4 linked regions of the Pelodiscus sinensis genome follow. The protein of the gene in region 4 purifies or fractionates together with the protein of the main gene of each other region. This does not show direct contact. Links are inferred from orthologs where the notes say so. Each region holds a gene or a part of one and is shown on either strand. Other genes may lie near its edges.

Region 1 (7,765 bases), on a different chromosome or scaffold from region 4:
GCCAGTTTAACAACCGGCTTCCCATGCAGATTGGGTCTTGCCTGCCATGGGGTAGCAGCAGCTCCTGTCTGCAGGGAACCTGGACCTCCTGCGGACAGGGGCTGCTGCTGCGGAGCAGTCTCTGTCTGCTGCAAGTCCAGGTCACCGTGGACAGAGGCTGCTTTGTGGCAGCCTACCCATCTCCGCCCCCGTGCTGCTGTCTCTGATACAGGCAGCAGCACAATGGGGGCAGCGACAGGTGGCACCATGGAGCTGATGCTTTTAAGCTGGATCTCCCCACTCCGCTGCCTCTGTAGCAGGCAGAAATAAGGGGGCAGGTGGGTATAGGGAGCCTGCTTGAAAGCCAGCTCCCCAAGCATATTGGCTCTCGTCTGCCCCTCTCACCCTCCACACTGCCGCCTCTCTCAGAAGCAGCAGCACCGGGGTGGGGGCAGGTGGATCTGGTGCTTGTAGTGAGCTCCTCTCGGGCTCCCGGTTCCATCCTCCCCCCCCCCATTGCTGCCTGTGATAGAGGCCGCAGGAGGTGGGGAAGTACGTGTAGTTGACAAGATTAACCGATAAGCCTAGGTTTATTAGTTAATCGTGTAATCGTCTACAAGTTGGCATCCATAATTGTAATGCAGGTGTGGGATGAAGACCAATGGCTCTAGAACTTTAGGATGCACAAAGCAACCTTTCTAGAGCCGTGTGTTCAGCTGACCCCCAAACTGCAGTGCAAGGACAACTGAATGAGAAATGTTCTCTTGGTAGAGAAGAGTGGACAACTACTGTGGTTGAAACTGGAAAGTCCCACTTGCTACTGGTCTGTAGCAAATCAGTTTGGAGTGGGGAAATTTACCATTAGAGCTGCATTTCTGCAAGTGTAAAGAACAATAAATCACATTCTGCTGCAGAGGATTGTGAGGGTACATCTATCAGAAAAAGACACGCAAAATGCGCTCTGATACTTTTGTTGGAAGAGGCTAGTCTAGAGCCTGTTGAGGCTGTGCCAGATTTCTGAAACCCCCCCTCTTTTGAAAGCCCCCTTCTCCCTCGTGGAACGAGGAATACAGGGGCTTTTGAAAGAGCACGTTTGCTCTTTCGCAAAAAAAAGTGGAAGAGCAAATGCATTCTCTGGACGTGGAGGAGTTTTTTCGGGATACCTCTGGTATCCCAACCCCCTCCCACCCGCAGTCTAGCTGTACCCTGATTCTGGGAAATGTGGATAACTTTGCAGAGATCGGCTTTCCAAAGTGTGGCAAGGCAAGACATGGCACATATATTGTCATTATAGCGCCACTTTGACAACAAAGGATGCTGAAATGTCTCTCTCTCTTGGGGTTGCTTCCCTGCTGCATCCCATTCCTCATCCCAAGTACTGTGATGCATTCCATGAAAGGGATTTAACATCCTGTAGTTGGAGCCTAAATGATTGATAGTTAAAATATAAAATATAAATACAGAGGCAGCAAGGGGGACAGGAATGCAAGCAGTCGATAGGATTAACTGATAAGTCCAGGCTTATCGGTTAATCGTGTAGTCAACTACACATTGACATCCCTGCTACGTATACCCCATTATGGAACATCCAGTCACAGGCAACAAACAAGAGGTTCTAGCTCAGATAGCTACAGTACGTACTATTGTCTTAGTTTACAATGCAATGTGGCCTAATAACCAAAATCCTGCAGTAGGTATGGAGCAAGGTAGAGGGACCTGGTCCCATTCTTCAGTGGCTCCCTGTGAATGTAGTTGTCCAGGGTTCAGCTCAGTTTCTCGTTTTAATGTTCACTTTCCCTGGGTCACTTCCTACCCTGGGTTCCTGCTTTATCAGTTTTTCTGGCTCACTCTTGTCCTCAACAGCTTGCAGGGTTCCACCATCAATCACACTAGTTTGGCCTCTATAGTGCCATCCACTCCCTGGCGGAAGCCAGCAACATATATCCACTCTCTTCCTCAACCAGCACAAATTGAGCTGGGCCACTCCCTTTTATATCCTGTCTCCAGGTTTAGCAGGCCCAAGGGGGACGATGGGGTGTGGCCTCTTCAGACTACAAAGTACATTTGACCCTTGATGGGTCAGTGCAGGGTAGATACACCCCATCACACCCATCTTAACTCTACTGACTTCATTATTATCCTTCCTGATCACAATCTATTTTTATAAGAGCAATGAGCTACATTGATTCAAAGATAAAGGCCACAGCAACAGAACTGCTGGCTAGAAGGGGAAAGCAACCCTGCCTTAGTGGAGTTGTTGATATTCAACACCAAGTGCTGAGGTTAGTAACATTTTAGGTATCTGGCTTTGTATTACATCTAATCTTTTTTTTTTTTTAAACTCACAGTTGGAAAGAAACAAGAAGTCATAATGCTCAACTACCTAATTAGGTACATCCTTTGTTACAATATTGTGTTTAAAGGGTGGGTGAAAGGCAGCCACCCCTAACCCTAATTCTTTAGTAGCCAGGATCCAAGAATGCAGGATTTTATCCTGTTATTTTTAGCTAGCAAAACGAATATATAAAAATGTAAGGATCACTAAAGCTCACATCCTTCAAATATATAAAAATAAAATTATGAGAATTAAGGATGAATTGTCACTGCTACTGGTGAATTTTGTAAGAAATCTGTAAGGACAAAATTTGAAGTTGCCAATTTTATGTAGTGTTGAAATGCAGTCATGCATAATCCTTTGTGATCTTTTCTCGGTAAGAAAACATCTTTCTTTTAATTTTAAATAGAATTTAAACAGCTGTGTTCTTTGGAACATACTGCCCTTTGTATGTACATCCCAGAACTGATGTCTCATTGGGAGGGGAAAGAAAAGCCCTATTAAGTTATGTGGCCTTGGAGTTTGCTGGGAAAAGCAATATTAAATGTGCTTTAAACTTAAAAATGTAATTATCTCAAGGTCACATACTCACACACAATATAAAATATAAATTCTGCAAAAAACAGAGGCAACTTAAGCCAATGTTCACATCTCTTGGCAATGTACACCAGCCAATAGGGAAGATGGTGAAGTCATACCATCACTTTGGTGCTCACTCCTCTCGTGTTGCTTTCACAGCTAAGCAACAGCCAATTGTCAGGAAAAACAGAATATCTGCCTATGTTGGAAGAATTGTCTTTTAATTTATCCAGTAGATTTTGTGTGCATGAGGAAAGGACATTTAATCATGCTTTTGTATGTTCTAATCTAAATCAAGGGCTAGCTCAGGCTGACAAGACTACAAAGAGTCTCTTCTGCTGATGTTGACAGTTCTGTCAGGTGGGCGGGTGGTGTTCAGTGGCCTTGTTGCTGCTTACAGTTGTCAGTCAGCAACAGCAAGTAGTCTGGATCTCCATGTGGTCAGACAGAAATCCAAAGCCAGGATAGACCGTGGTAGCAACAGAGCTGTCTGCATGCATCAGATCAGATATTTCATAGTCTGACACTGCTGGCAAGAGTTCTCTCTCTTAAGGGGGGTTGTGGTGTCCGATTTTACCAGCCCTAAAACCAACTGTACATTAATGAGCTCTCAGGGAAAGCTTTTCCTTTCAAAATAAACCCAGACAACAAAGACCATCACCTCTTAAGAGAAAGTAGAGGCTACTACATCAGAATGATGATTTTGGTAGTAAATAAACTGATAGAAGGGGAGGAGAGAGATGTGTCTGCTTGTCTTTATCTGTCTTTCCTTATCTACTTTAGGTACTTGTATAGCTTCCATAGACTTTGAATACCTCACAACCCTTAAAGAGACAAGGTGGGTATTTATATTTTATATTTAACTATAAAAAGAAAATGATACTGTTTTGGGTTTCCTACATAATTTCTAGGTAAGTTTCCTGATTTTTTTTCTTCCAGTAGGTGGGTCCATAGGATGATTTCTTGTCTGAGTCGACATATTCTAGATTACATGAGTTGCAGTAAATGGTTCTTCAGTTTTTCCAATAAAACTTTACCACACCCACCCTGTCTTTTAAATATCCAGGACCAACAGAGCTACCCGTTATTGCATATCACAGCTCTTAATGTCTCAATCCTTACAACACACCCCTCTAGGCAGGGAAGCGCTACCACGTCCATGTAACACAGAGGGAACAAGGGGTAAGGGAAGAGTTTGTAAATGGGGTGCCAACAGCCATTGAAACAAACTGTAACGTCTGAATATGATGGAAACTCCTAGCCAGGGGGCGCGGCAGCACTCCTAGCTCCAGCATCTGGAAACCCAGACACGGCCAGAAAAGTGATTTGTAGTAGCTCAAGGTTTGTGACAGAGCAGGGATTCAAATCCAGGTCTGGCATGCCCTGATGTACCTCCCCAGCCTAGACCGCCGCTGTGTTACTAATGTCCATGCGTAAGAGCCAGAGAATGGATTGCAAGCAATACCTGGAATGCCTGGCAGTGAGAACTGCCACTTAATGAATACAGGGTAGCAGCCCAGGGGCAGCCCGCCTAGGAATCAGTGCAATGTGCACGCAGAGCAGAAAACAAACTATGGCAGCCAGGCGAGTCCCGCTGCTGCAAACCCCTGGAGCAAACTCCAAAGCTGCTTCTCTGCTCTTTGTGTAGTAAACAAACCCTGCTCCGGCTGCAAGCACCACACGGCCGAGCCAGGCTCACTCTCCCTTCAGTGACTTACCAGCAGCCACACACACAGCCCTCATGGAAAATTGGCCTCTGAATAATACGACAGGCAAATCGTTTCCTAAGCGGCGTGGGGCGCCCATTGGCTCGGGCGGGCCCGTCAATCACACGGCGAAGGACGGGGGAGGAGGCGGGCCGCGCCGCGGCTGCGGGGCGGGCGGGAGTTCCAGTAAGTCAGCGCCGGGCCGCCTGAGTCGCTGCTGCCACGGCCGCGTCCTGCACACTCAACAGGCAGCTGCGCGACCAGGGGGAGCAGCCGGGCTGCAGCCGGCGGCCGCGCTGAGCCCTGCGGACCCCACGGCCGAGCTGGCGGCTGCCCAGCGCCCTCCCTCCCCGGGAGCTTGGATATGAAGTGGCGGAGCTAAGTGTCCTTCTCCCTCCCCCTCTCCGGGCTCCCCTCCTGCCCCGGGGCTCCCGCCCCCTCAACTCCGCTCGCCCCGCTCCGCTCCTTCCTCCGGGCTCTCTGCCTGCAGCCTCCCAGCCGGCTCCCGGCTCCCCCTTTTCCGGAGCTCGTCCCCTCCTCACCACCACCATGGCTGAAGCGCCCCAGCTCGTGGACATCGACCCCGATTTCGAGCCGCTGCCCCGGCCCCGCTCCTGCACCTGGCCCCTGCCCAGACCGGAGTTCAACCCGCCTAGCTCGGCCACCTCCAGCCCGGCGCCGTCCTGCGGGGGGCAGCCCGATGGGGCCGCCGCTGTCTCGTCGGTCAGCGCCGATTTCATCGGCAGCCTGAGCCTGCTGGAGGAGAGCGAGGACTTCGAGCCGCCGCCACTGCCCCCGGCCGCCGCGGGTGCTGCAGAAGGGGCCGCTGCCGGTGGCGGCTGCCTCTGCGGGGACTTCCAGTGCCAGGAGGCCGGCTGCCTCCATCAGCAGCAGCCCGGCCCGCCACTCCAGCAGCAGCAGCACCCGCCGGTGTCCGCCCTCTCCTCGGGTCCCATCCCCGGGCAACCCCGCAAGAGCAGCTCGGCCCGCCGCAACGCCTGGGGCAACCTGTCCTACGCCGACCTGATCACCAAGGCCATCGAGAGCGCCCCGGAGAAGCGGCTCACTCTGTCCCAGATCTACGAGTGGATGGTCAAGAGCGTCCCCTACTTCAAGGATAAGGGTGACAGCAACAGCTCGGCCGGCTGGAAGGTGAGGCAGATGGGTAGGGACTGGGAGTGCCTGGGGAGAGCTGGCCGGTGTAGTGGCAGGAACGGGGGGGCTTGGCTTTCCCCAAATCCCGTCTTTCAGGGGAGGTTAGGAAGCACCTTCCAGGGAGAATAGTGATAGAAATGTAGCCGTGTTAGTCTGGGATAGTTGAAGCAAAATGCAGGACAATGAGGCACTTTAAAGACTAACAAGATGGTTTATTAGATGATGAGCTTTCGTGGGCCAGACCCACTTCATTGTCCTTTTCATATGTGTTCATTTTTTTAATTGTATCCTTTGGTATATATGGTTGTGACTACTTTCTTCCACTATTTGATCTGAGGAAGTGGGTCTGGCCCACGAAAGCTCATCATCTAATAAACCATCTTGTTAGTCTTTAAAGTGCTACATTGTCCTGCATTTTGCTTCCAGGGAGAGGCAGCGCACACCCAGCCCCTCTGCAGCCTAGCCCGGCCGGTACACTCCTCAGTGCCGGGTGCGTGGGGATTGCAGAGCATTGCAGCCTCCTAGTGATCGGGGAAGCAGGGCAGTTGCAAACTCTGCACCCGAGTAAGTGAAGAGCACGAAGGTAGGGGGCAGCGTAGCGATTGGCAGGCTGCCCCCTGTCCTCGCTGGCTGTTCACTGACACTGGGGTGCCGAAGCTTAGGCAGGCAGGCTCGGTTTGCAGGGCGGCCGAATACTTAAAAAAAAGGGTCCCCTTTCTCTCCCCCAGTGAGTTGGAAAGCCACTAAGGAGGGGGCGGGGGAGGGGGTTGCATGTGTGTGCGGTGACCCCGGGAGCGAGGGGGTTCCTGCCATTTTCCCGGGTGCCTTAAAGAGCAGCCGAAGTTGCGTGTGCCGGGTTTGTAACTTAGCAGCCAACCGGCTGGGAACGGGCCCTGTGGAGACTCGCTGTGTCATTTCCCTTTGCAGACTTGGGACGAATTTAAAGTGACAGATTCAAGGGCTAGCCGAGAACTAGAGAAACGCAGCGGCAGGGTGCCACGTCCTGGGGGCGGTAGGGCAGCAGACACTAGCTCATTTTGCCTGCTCTGTACCCGGCGTGGAGCTAAAGTTCAAGCCTGCCAATGCGTGCAATGCATTTAAAGGGCCGGTGTCTCCAGTTTCATGCACAACAGGTCAAATCCTAAAACATATGGCAGCACTGTGTGAGACCTTCTCCTGTATGTAAGTAAGGGAGTTTGGAGTCCTTTCCAGTACAAACATTAATTACAAGTTAAACTTATGGATGGAATTTGTTCCCCCCCCCCCCAGGGTCACTGAGCAGGAGAGTCCTAGTGCTATTTCAGGTTTAAGATATAAAATCATCTTTTCATCCCATTGTTCATTATGTAGTCAGGCATGTAATACGTGGCTTTACTGAAGAAAACAGGCAAGTCCTTGCCCCAAGGAATTTACAATCTCAAGTCAGACTGACCGAACAAAAGGGGGGGAGTCATAAAGTAAAATGGGGAAAGGGCATAGGTAGGTCAAGGGTTATAGTAACAGTGCATGTTTACCAAGTGAGCTGTGTATTCAATGTAATGTCTTTGTTAAACTTTGTTTTTAATTAATGGGACTCTGTTTCCCTCAGAATGAAGTTTGTATGTCTAGAAGTAGCAGATTGGTAGGTGACCAGTTTCCATCATAGGATTTGCTATTCTGTCTTGTACAGAGGAATTGGATAGCAAGTTCACACTATCTCTGCAAGGAGTCCTGATTCCAGCCTTAGGACAGGAGTGAAGATAATAATAAACCACAGAGTTCTGCTCTGTGAGACTTCTAAGGCTGTTCAGTGGTGGATATGTTCCGTTTAGCAAATGGCATGATCTTTCTGTCACTTCACACATTACCAGCAACTCTAATATAGCAGATTGCCTAACCATCACTAGAACTAATGGCTGACTTTTAATCAGTTACATTTTTTCCAAGACTAGCTGTTAGAATGAGATTGCAAAGTGCCACTTGTCTGAATACACAGATTATTAATGCACCACTTTTTTCATAGTCTTTGCTT
Region 2 (7,776 bases), on a different chromosome or scaffold from region 4:
AACTAACCAATAAGAATTCATGAGATTACTCGACTATTCAATTAACCCATATTTACCATCTCTACTACAGACCTTGATTGGTATAATACAGCACTTTTGATCAATGTAGTTGTAACAACCTAACTGTACATGTAGATAGTGTTATATCAACAGAGAGTTTCTCTCATCAACATACAGGGAGGTGGATTAACTACACAGACAGGAGACACTCCCTTTGGTAAAGGAGTGTCTTCACTAAGACCACTGCAGATGTCTTTATATTTAAAAACATAAGAATTGCCATGCAGGCCTTCCTCGCTGTAAAGCCAAGATTAGGGATGTTAGTTGATTAATCTAATTTTAATTGAATAAAATTAGTCAATAGGGGTGCTTCCGCTTTGAAATGTAGCAAGAGCCCGCCCAGCTGTTGCTATATTTCAAAGGCAGAAATGCCACTGGAGTTCCACCTCTGAAATCTACAAAAGCCCCAAAAGGGGCTCTTGTGCATTTCAGAGATTGAAATGCTGCATGGAGCCTGAGTCCCCAGCAAGCCCCAAGCTCCATGCAGCGTTTCAATCTTTGAAATGCACAAGAGCCCCAGCAGGGACTCCTGTACATTTCAAAGGTGGAACGCCGACGCTGTGCCTGTGCCCCTGGCCCTACTCCCTCCCACGGAACTGGGGAGAACCGGTTTTTAACCTGGCTTCCCCCAGCATCCCTTCCTCTTTCCTCCCTTTGCTGCAGCTTTCTGATAGAAAGAGAATAGTCTGTTGACTATCCGATAAGCTTTTGCTTATCGGATAGTCAATTAATCACTTACGTTCCTTGAACGTATAGCAAAACAACTTAAAGCAGGGAACTTTTTTCCTGCGGCTAACTTCCATTTGCGCTTTTGGGGGGGAGGGAGGAGGACACATGACTTAAGAGTGGGAAATGGAAGGACTTACAATACCTCAATTCCTACAAATGTCAATGACTTTAGTGCGGAACGGATGTATACCAGGTGACTTATAGAGGAGATGCCCTCTTATAGAGGAGATGCCCTGTATTGGGTCAGATCAAGGGATCTAGCAAAGCATCCCATCTCTGAAAAGTACAGAAAAGGACAGTTTGGAGGATCAACCAGTCTTCCCCACTCAGATTCTGGCAGCCAGAGGTTTAGGGCATGAGGTTGCATCTCTGACCATCAATAGACTTTCCTTTTAAAAACTCAGTTATACTTTGGTCATCACAATATCCTATGGCAATGAGTTCCAAAGATTAATTGTGCATTGTCTGAAGAAGTACTTTTGTAGTAAACCCACTACCTACTATTGTCATTGGGTGAGCCCTGATTTTTTGTATTGTGGGAAAGAATAAATAACATTTATCTATTCATTTTCCCACACCAGTCATAATTTTATAACCATCTATCATATCCTTCTCCCCCCCCTCCTTTTCCATATATCATCTCCTCTTTTCCAAGAGGAAGTCTCTCCTCAGATGGAAGCCATTCCTTATGTGTAATGATCTTTGTTGCTCGCTCTGAACTTTTCCTCATTCCCTTATATAAGTTTTTTGAGATGGGATGATCAGAACCAAACACTGTATTTAAGGTGTGGGAGCAACACAGATTTATATAATGGCATTATCTCATTTTCTTTCACTTTCTTAATAGTTCTTAAGATTGTTAGCCTTTTTGACAGCTAGTATGCACCAAGCAAAAGTTTTCAGAATGCTATCCAGAAGAACCCCGAGATCTCTTTCTTGAAAGGTATCAAAAAAATGTAGAGCCCCTCCATCCCATCACTGAATATAGGTAGATGGAATTATTCCCCCCACAAACATTACTTTGAATTTCAGTGTTTTGGGATACCCCCTGCAGCTTTCATAGTCAGCCTATCTGCAGTAGGAATGTGAACAGTTAACCTGTAAGTATCACCCTTAAGGAGTTTCCCCTCCCCCTCCCAACAAATTTGTTTTATCTAGATATGTTGGGTGAGAATTCTGTAACTTACTATAGTAAATGCAAATAGCCACAAAAAGGGATTCCTTTCACAGTTCAAAAGTTGCACAAAAGTCCCAAGAATTTTACAAATATTAATCAAGTCCCACCCAGACATACCACTGTGTGGTAGGCAAGAATTACATCAGTTACCTATCAAAAGGAGGATGCAATGCCCTGTAGTCCTTGGCAGAGACTACCAAAATGAGTCTATTAAAGCCATATTTAATGGTCTGCCATTAATGGTCACATGGATTCCCATTCCTAAAGCAGCAGATTTTGCCCAAGAAAGCTCATGATTATTTATATATATACACATAGTCTCAAAGGTGCTCCAGGACTACGCCTTGTTTTTAAAGTTGCAGACTAAAACGGCTTCCCCTCTGAGACGTTAAAGATGCAGACGGGGTTGTCAGTGAGTTACCCTCAATTAACAAAGGCTCCCCCACCCCCTCCCCAAAACGGACGATACTAGAGTGCTCGTCTCCAAGGTGCTACTTCAATGGCCCTGGTCGGTTTCCCCGCTCACGGGGCTGGCTCGGGGCAGAGCGGGGATGCTCGGGGGGGGGGGGGGGGGGCTGGAAAGCCACACGCCTGGCAGGTGCAGTCCCAGGCGGAGGCTGCGCCTAAGGCGGCAGCTGATGCGCCTTTGAAGGGCGGAGCGAGCTGTTCCTCAGACGAATGCAGGGGCCAAGGAGTCGCTCGCCAGGGCTAACCCCGAGGCCGCCAGGAGCCGGCGCGATGTGCCTTACACCGGCCATGCGCAGCCCAGAGCGGGCGGGTTCCGGGCTCCGCTCGGCCCCTTCTGGGCAGCCCCACCCTCGGCCCCTTCCTTCACCTGCTCCGCTGCATGCGGCGCGGCCCAACCCGGCCCCGCGTCCCCAGCCCGGGCTCTCCCCACAAGGCCTTACCGCGCCTCACGCTCAAACCCGCAACCCGGCCACTCCGCCAAGCTCCAGGCAGCGGCCGCCGACCCCAATTCAAAAAGCGAGCCGCCGCTCTAAGCGAGCCGCCCATTGGTTGCCAGGCGGCGCCAGCGCCGGCGTGCTTATGAAAGCCGCTTCCTCATTGGTCCTTCGCGGGATTCTCTTCGTGAAGTCCCTCCCTTCCTCCCGTCGCTCTCTGAAAAGGGCTTCCTGTTATTGGACGGTGCCCGTGCAGCTCGTCGCAAAGCGATCGCCCATTGGCCGAGCGCGATTCCCCTAATCCTTAGGTGTGGGGATGAAAGGGGGAGCTCCGCTTGCCCAAACACGGGTCACAGGACGCTGGCTCACCTCGGTTCTGATTGGCGGCTGGCTCTTTTCAAACGAGCCCAACCGTTGAAAGAGACGGTGCCATACGTCAGCCCGTGCCCATCGTTCCAGCCTCTGAGGGGCAGCGCTGCGCAGCTGGGACCTGGCTGAGGAGCCCGCCCGGGTACGCCCGACATTGCCCAGCGCTGCTGCCCCCGCCCCCCAGTCACCGCCCAGCATAGCCCCGACACGGCCCCACACAGCCCTGGCTCTGCAGCCCCCGACGAGCCGCGGCCACCCTGTCAAGCCCACAGCGGCGTCAGTCCACGAGGGCGGAGTGATGGGGCCGTAAACGAGGTTCCGGTGTAACGTGGGGCACGGTAGGGCTGCCCCCGCAGGGGTGCAGGATTGGAGCCCCAGCTTGCAAACTGTGAGTGACCCTTTCCTGCCCGCCCTTTGCAGCTAGTCAGATTTAGGGTCCAATACATGTTTTCCCAGGCACATCTAGCTCCCCAGCTAGAATGAAACCATTTCTGTTCCTTAGAAACACCCAGGGGTCCTGTGGCACCTTAGAGCAGTGGTCCCCAACCTTTTGAGGTTGTCGGGCGCCAGGGGGCGGGGCCCCTCCACAGCCACGCCCCCCCCATAGCCACGCACCCGGTGCCCCCTCCAAGGGCTGCGCGCCCGGAGCCAGCGCTCCCCCCGCCAACCACCACGCGCCCGGGGCTGGCGCTCCCTCCCCCCCAAGCGCTGCGCGCCAGGGGCCAGCGCTCCCCCCGCCAAGCGCCATGGGGCTGGCGCTCCCTCCCCCCCCCCCAAGCGCCGCGCCCGGGGCCGGCGCTCCCCCCCGCCAAACGCCACGCGCCCGGTGCCGGCGCTCCCCGTGCGCCATGTGCCCGGGGCCAGGCCAGCCCCAAGCACCTGGCGGGCGAATGCAAATGCCCCCGCGGGCGCCATGTTGGGGACCACGGCCTTAGAGACTAGCCAAAAGATATAGAATCATGAGCTTTTGTGGGTAAAGCTACTGACACGGTTACCCCTCCGAGAGTCTGTTCCTTAGGTTTCAGAGTAGATGTGTTAGTCTGTTTCTGCAAAAACAGCAAGGCGTGCGATGGCACCTTAAAGATTAAGGCTACGTCTACACTGGCATGATTTTCCAGAAATGCTTTTAACAGAAAAGCACTTTTTGCAGAAAAGCGTCCGTGGCCAATCTAAACACGCTTTTCCACAAAAAAGTCCTGATTGCCATTTTCACGATCGGGGCTTTTTTGCGGAAAACAGTACTGTGCTGTCTACACTGGCCCTTTTGCGCAAAAGTCTTTCGGAAAAAGACTTTTGCCCAAACGGGAGCAGCATAATATTTCCGGAAAAGCACGGACGATCTTACATTAGATCATCAGTGCTTTTCCAGAAATTCAAGCGGCCAGTGTAGATAGCTGGCAAGTTTTTTCGGAAAAGCGGCTGATTTTCCGGAAAAACTTGCCAGTCTAGACACAGCCTGCCAGTTTTATTAGGGCATATGAGCTTTTGTGATTTACAACTCACTTCAGCTGCATGAAAGGAGAAAAAAACGAAACAGTAGGGGTGGGTCTAGACTGGCAAGATTTTGCGCAAGCAAAAACTTGCCAGCTGTCTACACTGGCCGCTTGATTTTGCCCAAGAGCACTGACTTTGTAATGTACAAAATCAGTGCTTCTTGCGCAAATACTTTCACGCTCCAGATTGGACAAAAGCCCTTTTCCGGAAACGCTTTTGCACAAAAGGGCCAGTGTAGACAGCTAAAAACTATTTTGCGCAAAAAAGCCCCGATGGCGAAAATGGTGATCGGGGCTTTCTTGCACAAAACCGCGTCAAGATTGGCACGGACGCTTTTTTTTGCAGAAAAGCGTCTGTGCCAATCTAGACACTCTTTTCCGCAAATGCTTTTAACGGAAAAACTTTTCTGTTAAAAGCATTTGCGGAAAATCATGCCAGTCTAGACGTAGCCTAGGGGTACAGGAATGGGAGTAACAAGGATTCCTGTGGCTCCTTATAGACTAACAGATGTATTGGAGCATAAACTTTCGTGGGCAAAGACCCCCTTCGTCAGATGCATGTCACGAAAAGCTTATGCTCATGAAAGCTTATGCTCCAATACATCTGTTGGTCTATAAGGTATCACAGGACTCCTTGTCGCTTTTTCAGATCCAGACTTTCACAGCTACCCCTCTGAGAAATGGGAGTGTTACATCAGAGATGATTCAATCAGGGTCAACTTTTTAAACCCGATTTTAAACCCCTGATAGTATTAATCATTACAACAACAAAAGCAATAAGATGCTGATGGCGCAAATGTCCTTACATTCTTAAACTGATCTTGGGAGCTTGCCCTTTCACCCATTTCCTCCCTATTTTTTGTTGTGTCAGTTGACACATCATATTTAAATTTGTCTCTTCAAGGCAAAGATCATGTTTGTCTAATTGTTCAGCAAAACCCCCTACATCACCATTGGGCATGAAAAACATCATTATAAAAATTTATTTTGGACATCAAAAATACACATTAACAAATCTAATAAGCTTTGTCTCAAGGATGTTAAGGTCTTTTATTATTTTGATTAAAATGAGCTTCGGAATAATCAAATCAAAGGGAAAAATGATCAATGGAAATGTGAATGGTTCACATGAATGTTAGCTGACTCAACTGAATCAAAAGTGTTATAAAATTAACTAAACCTAATGCTTTTAATTTTTTCCTATTTTGTATTCTTCTCTAATATTAAACCTTTGTGAATTGGAAAGTAATATTTTGTATGTATTCTGCATCTTATTAGTAAAAATCTAATTTAATAAATTCTGACAGACAATTTAAAAGGAATTTGACTGATGTCCTTCTAACAATTATTATATGGTGAATTCTTATATACTAAAATTAAATGTTTTGATAGTATTCATCCTTTTTATATTAGGGATACTTATTACAAGACCATGGCACATCCACATCTGTATATGGAAAAATTATATAAAGTGGGTACCTGCAGATTTGTAGAGTTCTGGATGCAAAATTTGTATCTGTATCTGCAAAAATGAGCTGCAGATTTGCAGGGCTCTGCTTACTACTTTAGATATCTTGTTGACTTAGGGCCTGATCCCAAGCCTACTGAAGTCAGTGAAAGTGATTTCACATTAGAGGGTTTTGAACCAGATCCTAAGGACCAAAGGAAAGAGGACATTGCTTGTAATAGGGATTGCTTATGTGAGTAAGGGCTGGTAGGCATATGACCCATGTAAGTAGGAACTGTGTGCATGAGTAAAAGGTTTGAATCCTGCAAACTGGATAGGTGGTCTCAGCTATTATTTCACACAATAACAACACTCATGCTGATGATTTTCTGCTTTTTGTCAAAATTTAAAAGCATTAGCGGGAGCTTGTTGTTTCTATTTATACTCTGAAAAACATCTTGGGACTTGATCCTGCTGTACCAAATCATGGATTCCCAATTTCTTCCAACCAGATCATGTAAGGCTGTAATGGGCAACTGCATGTGGTCTATCAGGGTTGTGTGTGTGGCCTACAAGACATTTTATTTACTATTGTCCATGTACAGGATTGCCAAATTTCACTGGTTTCCGTTCACGTTTTTTTCCTACTGATATTACTAAAATGACACACACATAAACAGGCCCGCTGACAGGGAAAGGTAAGGGACAAACGGGGCAACTGCCCCAGGGTCCTGTGATTCAAAAGCGCCAGGGCTCCCAGCCGCCGCTGCTGGCTTTGTCCGCTAGTTGCTGTGAGCAGTTAGGTTCTCTCCCTGGCTACAGTTGTCCCAGGGATCTTTTTGGGGTGTCCACAGAAAGGACAGCATGTCCATATGATATATTATCTGGGTGCATTTTGCAGGGACAGAGAGAGGACAATATTGCCCCCCACCCCCCCCACACACACACACACCAACTCCTACCCCCATCTCACTCCTCCTTTCCTGGCCATCCTGCCTCCTCCTCCCTCAGCATGGACTCTGCATGGTCAGAAAAGTCCCCCTGGGGTCTTCAAGATGGGGGAATCCTGCCACAAAAGACAGCTGACTTCACTTCTGCCAATTAGCTGGAAGATACCTCCACAGAAGATCCGTTTTGGGCTTGGATAACATGGCCATTGTTTCTGACTAGTGTTTGGCATTTCGGTATCAAAACTAGAAGTAGCAAATGGAAACAATGCAAAGTCTAGAATCACTTGTGCACAAACTTTGCCTCAAATTTCTGCACTTACACGTATACTTAAAGTGTGTGTGTTTGCAGAGTCAAGTCCTTCAATATATATATGCCATATATTTTATGGACACTACAATTCATGATTCTTATTACAGATAATTTAACATTGTAAAATGCTTGGCAATACCTTGGAGTGATTGCTTAAAGGCTGCCTTTCACAGCATTTTCCGTGATCCTGTAAATTAGTTGATGCTACTCCATTGAAATTGATAGAGCTGTGCCAGTTTACACCATCAGAGAATGTCATTTTTGTGTGTGTGTAGTACATGTAAACTTTAGAAATAACTGAAATTTTTGTACACCATCAGAGATTGTCCTTTCTGTGTG
Region 3 (6,844 bases), on a different chromosome or scaffold from region 4:
CAGTGTTTTAAGTATTAATAAGGCTGATATAGCAGTTTCAGCTGAGTTTAATGTTTGGGATCCCTAAATAAGTGCTTAAATAATGATAGCATGAATTAAAAAAGATTGGTAAACCAAGTGCTTCAGCACTATCTTTTTACTGCACAGTCTTCCCACTGCAAGTACAAAAGCAATGTCTTCTGCAGCACCTGCTGTCTGAAACAGCCTCTGGTATCTCTCTACCTTTATCTCTACAAATCTCTGCCAAAAGCCTATCTTTTTCCCTCTTATCTATGCCCGTTGTCTCCCAAAGTGTTATGTAACTTTGTAAGTATATTAACTCTGTAGTGTGTAGCAAATAATGTATGAGAGAGATCCAAATATTTTTGTATTTTTCCACTGGCTTGTTATTTCCTTATGTATTAATTTACAGGATGGGGCTGAAGTAATACCAGAACTAATTCTATCAGAGTACTTCAGTGCCTTACCAATGGAAATGCCATCAAATGAGGTGTCATTGTATTAGGCCCCTTGAATGGTTCTTAGAGGCTGAAAACAAACACGCAAATTCTAAAATATTTGAGCTCAACTTTGGTTTCCCGTGAATATCAAGAAGCTTGAATTCCTAAGGCTCATGCACGCATAGACTTGCAGCTTTTGTGAACAAAACTACAGCCTCACTCTGATTTCAGAGTGTATAATGCATGGTGCTCCCTGTGGCTCGGAGAGGCTAACAAAACAGGGGCTGTATGTATGTAGTTGGGTTGTACAGTTACAAGAGGGAAACCAGAGCACAAGAGAACCTTTTCTATTTGCATGTACTCCTAATTGGTGTGGAGCCAAGGACTGCCAACGTGAATTACCTATAGGCCAGTGCCACCACCAGTTCACTAGCTGAATGTGGAGGGTATTTTGAGCCTGTGGCAGATAGAGCTGCTATGGCGTCGGTGGTGGATGCCTTGGCCTATTGTGGGACAAAGGAACTGTGTGGCCTGTGGCGGGTGCTGAGGGCCCATGGCTGGGTAGGGTGGCTGTGTGGCCTGTGGCGGGTGCGGAGGGCCCGTGGCTGGGTAGGGTGGCTGTGTGGCCCGTGGCTGCGTAGGGTGGCTGTGTGGCCTGTGGTGGGGCAGGATGGCCCGTGGCTGGGTAGGGTGGCTGTGTGGCCCGTGGCGGGTGCGGAGGGCCCGTGGCTGGGTAGGATGGCTGTGTGGCCCGTGGCGGGTGCGGAGGGCCCATGGCAGGGTAGGGTGGCTGTGTGGCTCGTGGCGGGTGTGGAGGGCCCGTGGCTGGGTAGGGTGGCTGTGTGGCCCGTGACGGGGCAGGACGGCTGTGTGGCCCGTGAGGGGGCTGTGTGGTCTATGGCAGAGCAGAGTGGTGTGTGGCCAGTGGGGTGGGGGGCTGTGTGGTCTATGGCAGAGCAGGGTGATGTGGGGCCAGTGAGGGGGGGCGGGCTGTGTGGCCCGTGGCAGAGCAGGGTGGTGTGTGACCAGTGAGGGGGGGCTGTGTGGTCTATGGCAGAGCAGGACGGCTGTGTGGCCAGTGAGGGGGTGGGGGCTGTGTGGCCCGTGGCAGAGCAGGGTGGTGTGTGGGCAGTGGGGTGGGGGGCTGTGTGGTCTATGGCAGAGCAGGGTGATGTGGGGCCAGTGAGGGGGGGCGGGCTGTGTGGCCCGTGGCAGAGCAGGGTGGTGTGTGGCCAGTGGGGGGGGGCTGTGTGGCCGGTGGCAGAGCAGGGTGGTGTGTGACCAGTGAGGGGGGGGCTGTGTGGTCTATGGCAGAGCAGGGTGGTGTGTGGCCAGTGGGGGGGGGGGGCTGTGTGGTCTATGGCAGAGCAGGGTGATGTGTGGCCAGTGGGGGGGGGGGGGCTGTGTGGTCTATGGCAGAGCAGGGTGGTGTGTGGCCAGTGAGGGGGGGGGCTGTGTGGTCTATGGCAGAGCAGGGTGATGTGTGGCCAGTGGGGGGGGAGGCTGTGTGGTCTATGGCAGAGCAGGGTGGTGTGTGGCCAGTGGGGGGGGGGGCTGTGTGGTCTATGGCAGAGCAGGGTGATGTGTGGCCAGTGGGGGGGGGGGGGGCTGTGTGGTCTATGGCAGAGCAGGGTGATGTGTGGCCAGTGAGGGGGGGGGCTGTGTGGTCTATGGCAGAGCAGGGTGGTGTGTGGCCAGTGAGGGGGGGGGCTGTGTGGTCTATGGCAGAGCAGGGTGGTGTGTGGCCAGTGGGGTGGGGGGCTGTGTGGTCTATGGCAGAGCAGGGTGATGTGTGGCCAGTGGGGGGGGCGGGCTGTGTGGTCTATGGCAGAGCAGGGTGATGTGTGGCCAGTGGGGGGGGGGGGGCTGTGTGGTCTATGGCAGAGCAGGGTGGTGTGTGGCCAGTGGGGGGGGGGGGCTGTGTGGTCTATGGCAGAGCAGGGTGGTGTGTGGCCAGTGGAGTGGGGGGCTGTGTGGTCTATGGCAGAGCAGGGTGGTGTGTGGCCAGTGGGGGGGGGGGGGCTGTGTGGTCTATGGCAGAGCAGGGTGGTGTGTGGCCAGTGGGGGGGGGGGGGGGCTGTGTGGTCTATGGCAGAGCAGGGTGATGTGTGGCCAGTGGGGGGGGGGGGGCTGTGTGGTCTATGGCAGAGCAGGGTGATGTGTGGCCAGTGGGGGGGGGGGCTGTGTGGTCTATGGCAGAGCAGGGTGATGTGTGGCTAGTGGGGGAGGGGGCTGTGTGGTCTATGGCAGAGCAGGGTGATGTGTGGCCAGTGGGGGGGGGGCTGTGTGGTCTATGGCAGAGCAGGGTGATGTGTGGCCAGTGGGGGGAGGGCTGTGTGGTCTATGGCAGAGCAGGGTGGTGTGTGGCCAGTGGGGGGGGGGGGCTGTGTGGTCTATGGCAGAGCAGGGTGATGTGTGGCCAGTGGGGGGGGGGGGGGCTGTGTGGTCTATGGCAGAGCAGGGTGATGTGTGGCCAGTGGGGGGGGGGGCTGTGGGGTCTATGGCAGAGCAGGGTGATGTGTGGCCAGTGGGGGGGGGGGGGCTGTGTGGTCTATGGCAGAGCAGGGTGATGTGTGGCCAGTGGGGGGGGGGGCTGTGGGGTCTATGGCAGAGCAGGGTGATGTGTGGCCAGTGGGGGGGGGGGCTGTGTGGTCTATGGCAGAGCAGGGTGATGTGTGGCCAGTGGGGGGGGGGGCTGTGTGGTCTATGGCAGAGCAGGGTGGTGTGTGGCCAGTGAGGGGGGGGGGCTGTGTGGTCTATGGCAGAGCAGGGTGATGTGTGGCCAGTGGGGGGGGTGTGGCCTCCTCTCCAGGGGCTGTGCCCTGCCCCCCCAGGAGGAAGGGGGGAGCCGCCCCAGCGCTCTGTGCTACCCCGCCCCGCTTGCAGGAAATCACTGGGGTAACAGAGAAGCTGCAGGGATAAGCGGATATGACAGCAGCCCTGCCCCGCAACGCAACCTGATGCTGTGGGCGCTCCACCCTGAGCGCCCCGTCCAGCCAATCCCTTCCCCGAGCTGCCTCCCCACGGCCGCGCCGGGGCCAATGCGGCAGCGCTCATTGCAAGAGGGGCCCCGCCTCTCTCGTCTCATTGGCCCGCTTGCCCTGCCCATCCCCTCCGCAGCGCCCGCCTTTTCCCGCTGGAACGTGTGGAACAGGGCGTCGCGCCAATGAGGCGCCGGACGAGGCGTTGCCCAAGCCTGGAGTGACAGGCCTGGGACCAACGGCCGCGCGCCCCCCCCAGCCTCCCTCCCCAATGGTGGCGGGACAGAGGGGCAGGCCCACACCGCCTCCTGCCCCTTCCCTGTTGGTCGGCCCCACTCCGGGCCTGGCGGGCTAGGTTGAGTTCGCAGCAAGGGCCATTAAACGCTGTGGGGGGAGGGGGAGCGATTTAAAGAGACAGGAGCCGAGCGGGCGGCCGGCTGGGGGAGCAGCAGCGGACGAGCCCCCTCCCCCCCGCGGCAGCACCTCCGCCGCCAGGGTCTCCCCGAGCCCCGCCGGCTCCCAGCGGCCTCCATGAGCTAGCGGCAGCGGCGGCCACTCCGGGGGCGGCAGCGGCCGCCGCCTCCTCCTCCTCCGCGCCAGCCCCATCTTTGTGCGCTGCCGCCCGGCCGCCGCGCTTTGTTCGGCGCCGGGGGGGAGCCCGGCCCTCGGGGCGAGCCGCTCCCCGCGCCCCGCTGCAGCTCGCGGGGGCGGGGGAGGCCGCGCCGCCGCCGGAGCCCGCGGCGGGCGGCGTGAGGGGGCCGGCGCCTGGGAGCGCGCGAGCGGCTGCGGCGGCCCCGTCCCGTGTCCGTGCGGCTGCCAGGGGGAAGGGGCCGGCTCGCTGCCCGCCGGCCCGGCCCGTCGGCGGGCGGATTGATGAGGGGGGGTCGGACATGAGTCCGCCGGCCGCCGGGTGCTGCCATGTGACCGGCTTCAAGGTGGAGAACTGGAAGCAGAACCTGCGGGCGATCTACCAGTGCTTCGTGTGGAGCGGCTCGGCCGAGACCAGGAAGCGCAAGGTACCGGGGGTGGGGGGGCAGGGCCACACCCCGCTCCGCCCCACCCAGCGGGGCCCCGGCCCCGATCCCGCCCGCCCCGCACCCACCGGGCCCGCCCTGGGCTCTCCCGCGGCGGGGAGGGGGGCTCCGCGCTGCTGGAGCGGGGAAGGGGCTGTCGGGGTCCCGCGGGCAGGGAGAGGCACCGTTCAGCTCACGGGAGGGGAAGCAGGGGATCCCCTTAAACACCTGCCCTTGGCGGAGGGGCAAGCTTGGGAGGGGGCGGCTGCCGCAAGGGCTTTCCTGGCCTATGCAGGGGTGGGAGGCTGGACCGAGCGCCGCCGCCTCCCAGGTGCTGGGGGGAGTGAGGGTTTCCCGGAATCAGGCAACTACTGCATTGCTTGTCTGCGGGGGAGGGAGCGCTCCCAGGGCAGATGGGCATGGCCGGCCTGCAGCCGAGCTCTGGGCACTGGGAGGCAGTCTCCTGCAGAGAATAGGCTGCTTCCGATCACGGTCTGGTACAGTAAGTGACAGGCTGGGATAAGGAAGGCGAAAGGGAGAAGTGGATCTTTAATTCCCAGTGTCACCCTCTAGTAAACTATTGCATGTAGCTACAGCATAGGTACTTAAGCAAATAGAGTGCAGCCTTTGGGAAGCATGGGATACACAGGCTGAGGTTTGTCTTGCATCTAATTTAAGGAGCAGTATTGGGGGGAAAAAGAGAGAGGAGCTTGCAAATCATGCTTGCACATAATGTGTATTTAGGAAAGGCTTAAAGACACAATGACTGGAAATAAGTCTGCAGATTTTTGTGTCTGTGGAATGCCTTTTTTATGATTTAATGCATCCACTGGTAACTGAATCAGAAAAAGATTCCTAGTGTGGTGTGAGGAAGGTGGGAAATAAAGAATTTTATGCACCGGAAAAGTGAGAGCATTTTGCTCTTTCAAATGTGTAGTGAAAGTACTGCACAAATAGTAGCATAATGAATATGTTAGAGAAGACTGATGGGCCATATTTGTATAAAACAAGCTAATTACTAAGCTAATATTTTAAAAATAGGTTACAAAGACATGTTTCTGGAAAATTGATCTGTTAACTGTTCACAAATTCTTTTCCTTTGAATCAACTAGTTCTTCAAAGTGACTTTGCAGATTTCTCTCAGTGATCATCTTAATGACTAAAAAGGGTACTGCAACTGCAACTCAGACAGCAAAGCTTTCTCTTCAGGACAGCAAGGATAAGGCCTAATGAAGCAATCAATTACATCTCTTGTAACTTTATTTCATTAGATTATTTAAATCACTCAGACAAGTAGAGCTAGTTATAGAATGAAAGACACAATATTCAGAAATTAGGTAGATTAAAAAGGCTTGTGAAAGTTGTGTTCATAGAATCATAGAGCTGGAAGAGACCTCAGGAGGTCATCAAGTCCAGCCCCCTGCCCAAGGTTGTCTCTTTAAAAAGAGACAGCAAATCGGACATTATTTAGTCATCTAATATTCAAGCAGTATTTAATCTAGCTACAGGCATATTTGAATATTTATGTTCCTCTTGTAAGTGAATGTAGCTTAATACTTCAGTAACAAACTTTTTTGTACCCTGTAATAATTCAAAACACAACTTGTTATATGAAAGATAATGACTTAAATGAAAACATACATTCGTGATGATTAGTTATGTCCAGTATACTGTGATACACAATAGGCAAAGATGACGTAAGAAGACTGAACAATATGAGATAATGGGTCTTACTGCTAGAGTGACAATGTTTTGATTAACAACATGAATATTTCCTGTCTTTTCACATTGAAAGTACTTTTAAGAATAGTTCATTTTGAATGACTGTTCTATGAATTGGAAAATAATTTTATATTCCCCTGTGGTATGTTGCCACATCCATAGCATTGCTTTGATATTAAGACTATGCCCCTCCATGTATATGAGTGCTAGTTTTGAATCCTCATCAGTATATAGCGATAGATAGAAAAATGACTTCAGAAAAACTGGACCTTGGTTTTCTCAAATTATGGCACTGGTATTTTTTCTGCTGAAAACTCAGTCACAAAATCTTACTTGTTTATTGCTGTAGAAATCATGTACAATTACTGTCAGGTTTTATATTAATATGAAGATTCATTGAATAAACCCTGCCTTGGTAACACGAATCTACCATGCAAACTGTCTTGCACAGTTGGTTATCCAGTGAGTGATCATCAGTCGGTCATTCTTTAGGTTTTTCAGACACTAATCTTCTACCTTTACTTTTGGAAGGATGAGTCTTAAAAATCCAGATAGCAGTAGAAACTGCAGAGGGCAGAAACAGACCACTTCTGCAGCTTTACTAGGTTACTTATATTGCTTGCTGCATTATGTTTTAAAAGACCATTTCAGCACTGCTTGTTTTTTGCCATTTGTTTTCAGTCTGCTC
Region 4 (6,905 bases):
ACAGCCCACTTCTTCAGATGACCAGAGTGTTGAAGTCCAGATCCAAGAATAAATAAGGAAAGACGGGGGGGAGGGAGAAGGAAAAAAATTGAAGGGGAGGAAGAAAAAAAGACAGTGAGTAGATAAGCTTCAAAAGGACAGCCGAGCGAGTCTGTAACAGGAAAAACTTAAAAACCAACAAACAATTGAGGGGTATGTCTACACTAGCTCGTTAATTCGAGCTAGGTAGGCAAATGAGGTGACCAGAGTTGCAAATGAAGTCCGGGATTTAAATATCCCGGGCTTTATTTGCATGTTCCCATCTGGTTGCCATTTTGAAATTTCACTAGCCCGAACTTATTGCCGCGCGGCTACATGCGGCAGTGAAATGTTAATTCAAACTAAGTCCCAAGGAGTAACAGTTAATTTGAACTAAAGACTTAGTTCGAATTAACGTTTCACTGCTGCATGTATCCGCGCGGCAGTGAGTTTGGGATAGTGAAATTTCAAAATGGCGACCAGATGGGAACATGCAAATAAAGTCCGGGATATTTATATCCCGGGCTTCAATTGCCTGCCTACCTTGAATTAACGCGCTAGTGTAGACATACCCTAATAGCATCTTGACTAAATAATTATAAGAGGCTGATAAGAACCATTAGCTTGCACTTGGAAAGGAAAATGAACAACGCCAGATTCTACACAGACATTAAGAACCATTAGCACCTTCATTGTTTGGTTGGTTTGATATCACAATTCAAGCCATTAGTATAAGAATTAAACTTGGGAATGAAGTTAAGCTCCAATCCTTCTCTGTGTATTTGGCTTGTGGAATTGGTCAAACAAAACAGCGACTTGGAGATCCATTAATGAGTGTCCAGGAAGATTACAGTGTTCTCCAACAGGTTTTTATGTGTTGCCTTTTTGGATATCTGATTTGTGTCCATTAATTCTTTCCTATAGAAACTGTCCGATTTGGCCCAATATACATTGCACTGGGGCATTGCTGGCATTTGATGGCATAGATCACATTAGTGAATGTACAGTTAAATGAGCCTCTGTGCCCTAGATCACAATCCAAACCCTTGCACCCTTTCCTACACCCCTTCCTACACTCATACCCCTTACCCAACCTTGCATGCCAATGCACTGAACCAGGTCACAATCCTCTCCTTCACTCAAACTCCCTCCCAGACTTCACACCCCCTCCTGCATCCCAGTCTCCTATCCTGAGCTCCCTTCTATAGCCCTTGACCACTTACCAAATTCTTGGAGTGCTCCCCCATTAAAAATTATTGCTCACCCCTGTGCTGGCTGCTTCTGGAGCACAGCATGGTGCCCCCAGGACAGGCAGGCACCAAGTAGCCGAACCCCAGCCCCCGTCCTAAATCCTTCCTGCACCCCAAATTCCTGTCCCCAGCCTGATAAAAGAGAATGAGGATGGGGAGGGAAGATGGGAGTGAGCAGGTGCGGGGCCTCAGAGAAGGGGCGGGAAGGAGACCAGGAGCCCCCCCAGGTAAGCCTGAGTCGCCCCCCCCCCCACACTCCCACCCCAAAGGAGCCATGTGCTGCTTTAGTTAAGCTGACCTAACTCTTGGTGGTGGCATGATCAGAGTAAAATTCTATCAAACCTAGCTACTGCTGTTAGGGAAGGTGGATATCAGTGGTCACCAACAAGTAGATTAGGATCTACTGGTAGATCTTGGAGCCTTTGACAGGTGATCCTGAGAGGTTTGGCCGGGAGACTATCAAGTGCCAGCACTTCAGCTTCCCCTCTAAGTGCTACCCTGTTGCTCCTTCCCCCAGCCTTGGAACTGCCCCCCACCCATGGGAGCTTCCTGCTTGCTGTGCAGGGCACGGGAAGAAGAGGAAGGGGGGTACTGATCTCAGGGTGCCCCTCCCTCCATCCTGTACCCCATCTCCACAGAGCAGAGGGGGACAGGGGTGGAGAGAGTTTGATGGCTGCTTTTGGGAGTGGTGCAGGACCAGGGCAGGGGTGAGCCTACCTTAGCCCCCTGCACCACCACCAAGAAGCCACCTGTGGTAAGAAGTATCCAGCTGGAACCTGCATTCTGAACCCCAGCCCCCATCCTAAATCCTTCCTGCACCCCAAATTCCTGCCCCCAGCCTGATAAAAGAGAATGAGAATGGGGGAGGGAGGATGGAGTGAGCAGGTGCAGGGCCTCAGAGAAGGGGCGGGAAGGAGACAAGGCAGGGGTATTTGGGTTTGAGGTAGATCCTGGATTGCACTTAAATTCAAAAAGTGATCTCATGTTTAAAAAGGTTGGAGACCACTGATCTACATCAATGAAAAACCCTTTTCCATCAACATATGAAGTGTCTACACTAAGGGTGTGTCTAGACAACAGGGCTTTTTAAAAAGAAGTGGTCTTTTAAAAAACAAAATTTCCCCGCATCTAGACTGCTGATACTTTTGAAAAAATGCAAGTCAAAAGAATGCAGCAGTTTTTTTGATCATGGAATACCTCATTTTACAAGGATTAACGCCTTTTTTTGAAAGTGCTCTTTCTAAAAAAAGGCGCTATGTAATGCAAACTGTGCTTTTTCAAAAAAAGCATCTAGACTGCCAGGGTGCTCTCTTTCAAAAAAGCGGCTTGCTTTTTTGAAAGTACTGTTTGTAGTCTAGATGCTCTTTTTCGAAAGAGGCTTGCAGTCTAGACATCGCCTAAGAGTACCACAGTCATGCTATGCCACAAAACATAGATATGCCCAAAGTACACTAATAGCAATGCCTGTTACTATTTGTAGAAAACCATGACCTTATGAAGAGTGTAACATTCATCGTATTGCCAGCTCATAATTTTATAAAAAGTCTTATAATACTAGATCATCTCCTGCAGGTATATCCTGAGAATCTTAGCTTGTATTTTAAAAAAATTAATGTGAATCTGTAGCCTTAAAGGATACAGAGAAAAGCAGGAAAACAAGAGGCTCAAAAAGCAACAAGGAAAATGTATGAAGCAAATGCGAGTTTCTTTTGGGCTTTTAAAAAGTTTCATTTTTAAGCCACTCAGATTTTTTTAATACACAGGGTTGGCAATTCTCTCTCTCCTTCTTCAACCAGGTTTTCCTTTTTCTCCTACTTTGATGAAAACAGGAATCCCAGTGATTTTAAGCTTGCCTGCACAAACTGGTAACAGTTTAATTGCAGGTGTGTTTTAAAACGGATTTACTTAAATCTGTGCACATTTGCATATGCATACATAATATTTATATTTAGCAGTGGTTTATTTGGGGGGTTAGTTTAAATCTTGCAAAACACAGTTTAAATTAAACAAATACTCAGATGAATAAGCATCTAAAACGATAAACTTTTAAACACACCCTTAGTTAAACTTCTACAGCTCTGGCTGTAATGCAAGCCTTCTGATTTCTTAACACCACTCCCTCCTCCAACTTGTATTAAAAATAGTGGCACCTCCTGTCCGTCCTCTGCAGCCCTCACTGGGCTGATCGCTTTGGGGTGCTCCCCTTCGTTCTCAGCCCCTCTCCCCTACTCTGTGGGACCATTTGCTTTTTCTTTCTCACCTCCCCACCCCTAAGGCCTGCTCCATCCGTGCCCTTACAGCGCTTCCTCCTGCCCCGCACAACATCCCAGCTGCTCACGCCTCCCGCAGCCCCGCCCCTTCCCGCGCTCCCCTTACATAACGCCTCGCACTGGCAAAGCCCCGGCAAGCTACCCCGCTAGTAGGTCACGTGAGGGGGTGGAGGGCATCGGCGAGGTGCGCCCAGCCTTTGTACCGGGGTCACGTGACGGCGGCATTTCCCACCCTATCCCTTCCCCTCACGTGACCCAGTTTGTTGTTGTTGCGGCCTCTGCGGGGAGGGTGCCCGCGTGGGCGGCGGTGAGGTCACGTGCAGGGTTTAAATCTCTCCCTGGAGGGCGGGGGGGATCGGGGAAGGGGGCTGTAGCTGAGGCGCTGGTGCGCCGGACTGGGGGAGGCGGCGGTTGCTGTTCCAAGATGGCGGACGAGGAGACTCTGCTCCTCCAACCGCGCAGCGGCCCCTGTGCCGCAGCCGAGAGCGCCGAGCCCCTTCCTAAGCGCCAGCGCCTGGACTTGGAAGACGGTGCCGGGCGTGGCTCGGTGACGGGCCCAAGCCCAGAGCGAGGCGTTGGGACGGCGCCCACCGCAGGCTCCGCAGCTGGGGCGGTGGGGGGGCCGGCGGCGGAGGGCTGGAGCGGCGCGGACAACGGGGCCGGGCTGCGGGGCCTGCCCCGCGAGGAGCCGCCCCCACAGCAGCAGGAGGGGGAGGGGGCGGAGACGGCGCCCAGTGGAGACGAAGCGGACACGGCCATTGGCTACAGACGGTCGCAGTATTCACACGAGGTGCCTGCCCCGCGTCCCGGTGAGGATCCCCGGCTTGACCCCGTGGCGGGGAGCGGCGCCCTTCCTGCTCCCTCTCCTCGCCGGGGCCAGTGAGAACCCTCCCCTGGCCGCCCGGGCACAGACAGTTCAAGGGGGGAGGCGGCTGCGTTACTCAGTGGGCCTCCCCCTTCTGTGTGACACCAGTCACCGAGGCCCCTGCCCCACCGCGCGCACGTAGCCGGGGGCGAGCCGTCTGCCACGCTCACTCGCGGCTGGGCAGCGTAGGTCGTTCCCTTCCCCCGGCCTGGCGAGGCGCAGTTAACCTCCTGCCCTCCTCCCTACACCGGCTGGGTTTGGGGAGAAGCAAGCGAATTCCTCCACCCGCCACAGAGTCATCTGCTCCGGGCAGGTGTTGAGCAGTGGGCAGCTGACCCGTCACGCTCATCTCCCTATTTGGAGGCGCAATGGAATCAGCCGCGCTTACGGCCCCCATCCTTTTGCAGCAGCATCTTATTAACGGGACACCGATGCTAAGTTTTTAGTTTCGTTTTTTGCACACATAAGCTTGTCAAATGCCCTTTGCGCTCAGTGATGTGCGTTGATTTATGTATGTGTGCGCTCGCTGAGCGTGTGTATTATAGAAGCATGTCTTCTGCTCCATATTGCTACATCTACTTCGGTTTGTAGATATAGAAAAATCGTGTAATTGGCCATTGGTTTGTACTCCTATGGGATTTGTGACAAATTTATTTTTCAACTTATAACTTTTATAGCCTGTACAATAAGTTCAGTAGACACAAAATTATTACACTGCTTCTGGAACTGGAAAAAAATATTACTATGATAATGTAGAGATTGCTAGATTGAAGTTTGAGTGATACTATGTTGATTTCTGTGCTGCTTATTTGTAGATAGTTTTTATGTATTGCATGTGCATCCATTATTCCCAAATTCAGTTTACCCTCTTAATTTCACACTGCTTTTTCAGTTTTATTTCCTGGACTTCTAAAAGGAGACTAATTTAAGTCATGTTGTAAACAAATTTATTTAATAATGTTAATAGCATCCTGTAAGTGAAATTTTTAAAAGGTTGTTTCCTATATGTATTTGGTATTCTTTCAATTTTTGTTTCCTGAAAATAATTTTCATGAGAGTTGTGATCCACTGAGCAAGTCTTGCCAGCTCCTTCTGTAATTGGCCCCAATACTGAGGGCTTTGCCTGAAAAGATTCAGTAAGCATACTAACCTTTCTGGAAACTGCCCTGCTTGAGGAATCACCTGACTGTGCAGAGGGTGGTATAGTTAAACAGGCTCTTCTACTGCAAAAATTTCTCAGTATAATGAGAAATATGGGTAGGGCCTACCAAACTATTAATGATCTAAACCCTAGTCCTTCAAACATTTCCTTAACTTGGTTTAATTTCACTGAGATATATCACATAGCCCTTTTTGGTGAACATAAAGAAATCTATACCAAGGCATGCAACTTGTGTTTGCAAATGTATAAACTATCACTTCTGCTTATTTTATGCATAAATCAGGCTATCTTCCTATAAAGACTTGAGGTGAGAGTGGAAACTGTCCAAACACACAAGACACCATGAGAGGCTAGATTACCAAAATAGCACTCATACTTTTATATTGGTTTCAAATTTTAACTTGTAATACCATGTCTCTTTTAGGGATGTAAGTGACTAGTTGATTATCTGATAAGCATATGCTTATTGGGTAGCCAAGTAGTGACTTGACTAGTCACTCTCCCCCCACTGCCTCTAAGAGAGAAGCAGAAATTGGGGGAGGCGGGGAGGATGGGGAAGGGAAAGCAGGAGCCAGTGCTGACAGGGAGCTGGCTTAAAAGCCAGTTCTCCTCTTCTCTCTCTTCTCCCCCCCCCCCCCAGCACCATTTATAGGGGGACAAGAGAGGCAGAGGCATCGCAGGGACCAGGCCCAAACCAGGAATTAGCTGATTCCCGTCTCGAGACTGTTCCCAGATGCTGTGCCTCTGCTTTTTAAATGTATTAAGAACCACCTGGTGGCTCTTAATACATTTAAAAAGCAGAGCCACAGCGGGGTTAGCTCACTGGCGGGGAATTAACCCTGCTGTGGCTCTGCATTTTCCCCATTTATTGACTCGATTAGCTGCTTGCCTGCAATTTAACATCTCAAGTCTGTTCTTCTATTCCTTAGTTAATAGCTGTAGGGCTTGAAAGATAATCTGCAAAGGAAGATGGGGTTAGGATTTGTACTGCCCTTCTCCTCCTTCCCCCCCACCCCCATAAAAGGGGTATCAACTGCATGTTCTGCTTTTTTTAACATAAAAAAATGAAGACCATGGCCTTATCCAGAATAGGATAAAGAAAATTAAACAATTTGCTTTTTCTTTTAGGAGGAGTTGGGAGTGAGTTACATTTCTTTCCTTGTTCTTCAATTTAAAAATAATCAGACCTGTCAGATCTGGCCTTCCTGGGTTTTGCTGAAGACCTGAGGTTCTAACACCATGGTATACAACCAATTCTGCTATAGCGAACTAACCACGTTCAAGTGGCCAAATACCACATTGTTCAAGCCAAATACTGTAGCCAATAGTGGCTAGTGTAT

The links.
Region 1: the proteins of SIRT1 (region 4) and FOXO1 purify together in Homo sapiens (affinity purification with western blotting; 5 studies listed by BioGRID and IntAct, with this or other methods). This does not show direct contact. The link is inferred for Pelodiscus sinensis from reciprocal best matches to the Homo sapiens genes SIRT1 and FOXO1.
Region 2: the proteins of SIRT1 (region 4) and ECT2 purify together in Homo sapiens (affinity purification with mass spectrometry; 3 studies listed by BioGRID). This does not show direct contact. The link is inferred for Pelodiscus sinensis from reciprocal best matches to the Homo sapiens genes SIRT1 and ECT2.
Region 3: the proteins of SIRT1 (region 4) and USP22 purify together in Homo sapiens (affinity purification with western blotting; 10 studies listed by BioGRID and IntAct, with this or other methods). This does not show direct contact. The link is inferred for Pelodiscus sinensis from reciprocal best matches to the Homo sapiens genes SIRT1 and USP22.

What each region holds. Positions count from the first base shown.
Region 1 is NC_134711.1:292,069,582-292,077,346, forward strand, and holds the start of FOXO1 (forkhead box protein O1), read left to right. Parts: upstream 1-4,744; 5' UTR 4,745-5,148; coding exon 5,149-5,751; intron 5,752-7,765. UniProt on the Homo sapiens protein: Transcription factor that is the main target of insulin signaling and regulates metabolic homeostasis in response to oxidative stress.
Region 2 is NC_134720.1:40,504,788-40,512,563, reverse strand, and holds the start of ECT2 (protein ECT2), read right to left. Parts: upstream 3,010-7,776; 5' UTR 2,981-3,009; coding exon of another isoform or gene 2,875-2,980; intron 1-2,874. UniProt on the Homo sapiens protein: Guanine nucleotide exchange factor (GEF) that catalyzes the exchange of GDP for GTP. Promotes guanine nucleotide exchange on the Rho family members of small GTPases, like RHOA, RHOC, RAC1 and CDC42.
Region 3 is NC_134726.1:32,611,408-32,618,251, forward strand, and holds the start of USP22 (ubiquitin carboxyl-terminal hydrolase 22), read left to right. Parts: upstream 1-3,832; 5' UTR 3,833-4,311; coding exon 4,312-4,437; intron 4,438-6,844. UniProt on the Homo sapiens protein: Deubiquitinase that plays a role in several cellular processes including transcriptional regulation, cell cycle progression or innate immunity.
Region 4 is NC_134718.1:27,706,957-27,713,861, forward strand, and holds the start of SIRT1 (NAD-dependent protein deacetylase sirtuin-1), read left to right. Parts: upstream 1-3,887; 5' UTR 3,888-3,962; coding exon 3,963-4,347; intron 4,348-6,329; exon of another isoform or gene 6,330-6,807; intron 6,808-6,905. UniProt on the Homo sapiens protein: NAD-dependent protein deacetylase that links transcriptional regulation directly to intracellular energetics and participates in the coordination of several separated cellular functions such as cell cycle, response to DNA damage, metabolism, apoptosis and autophagy.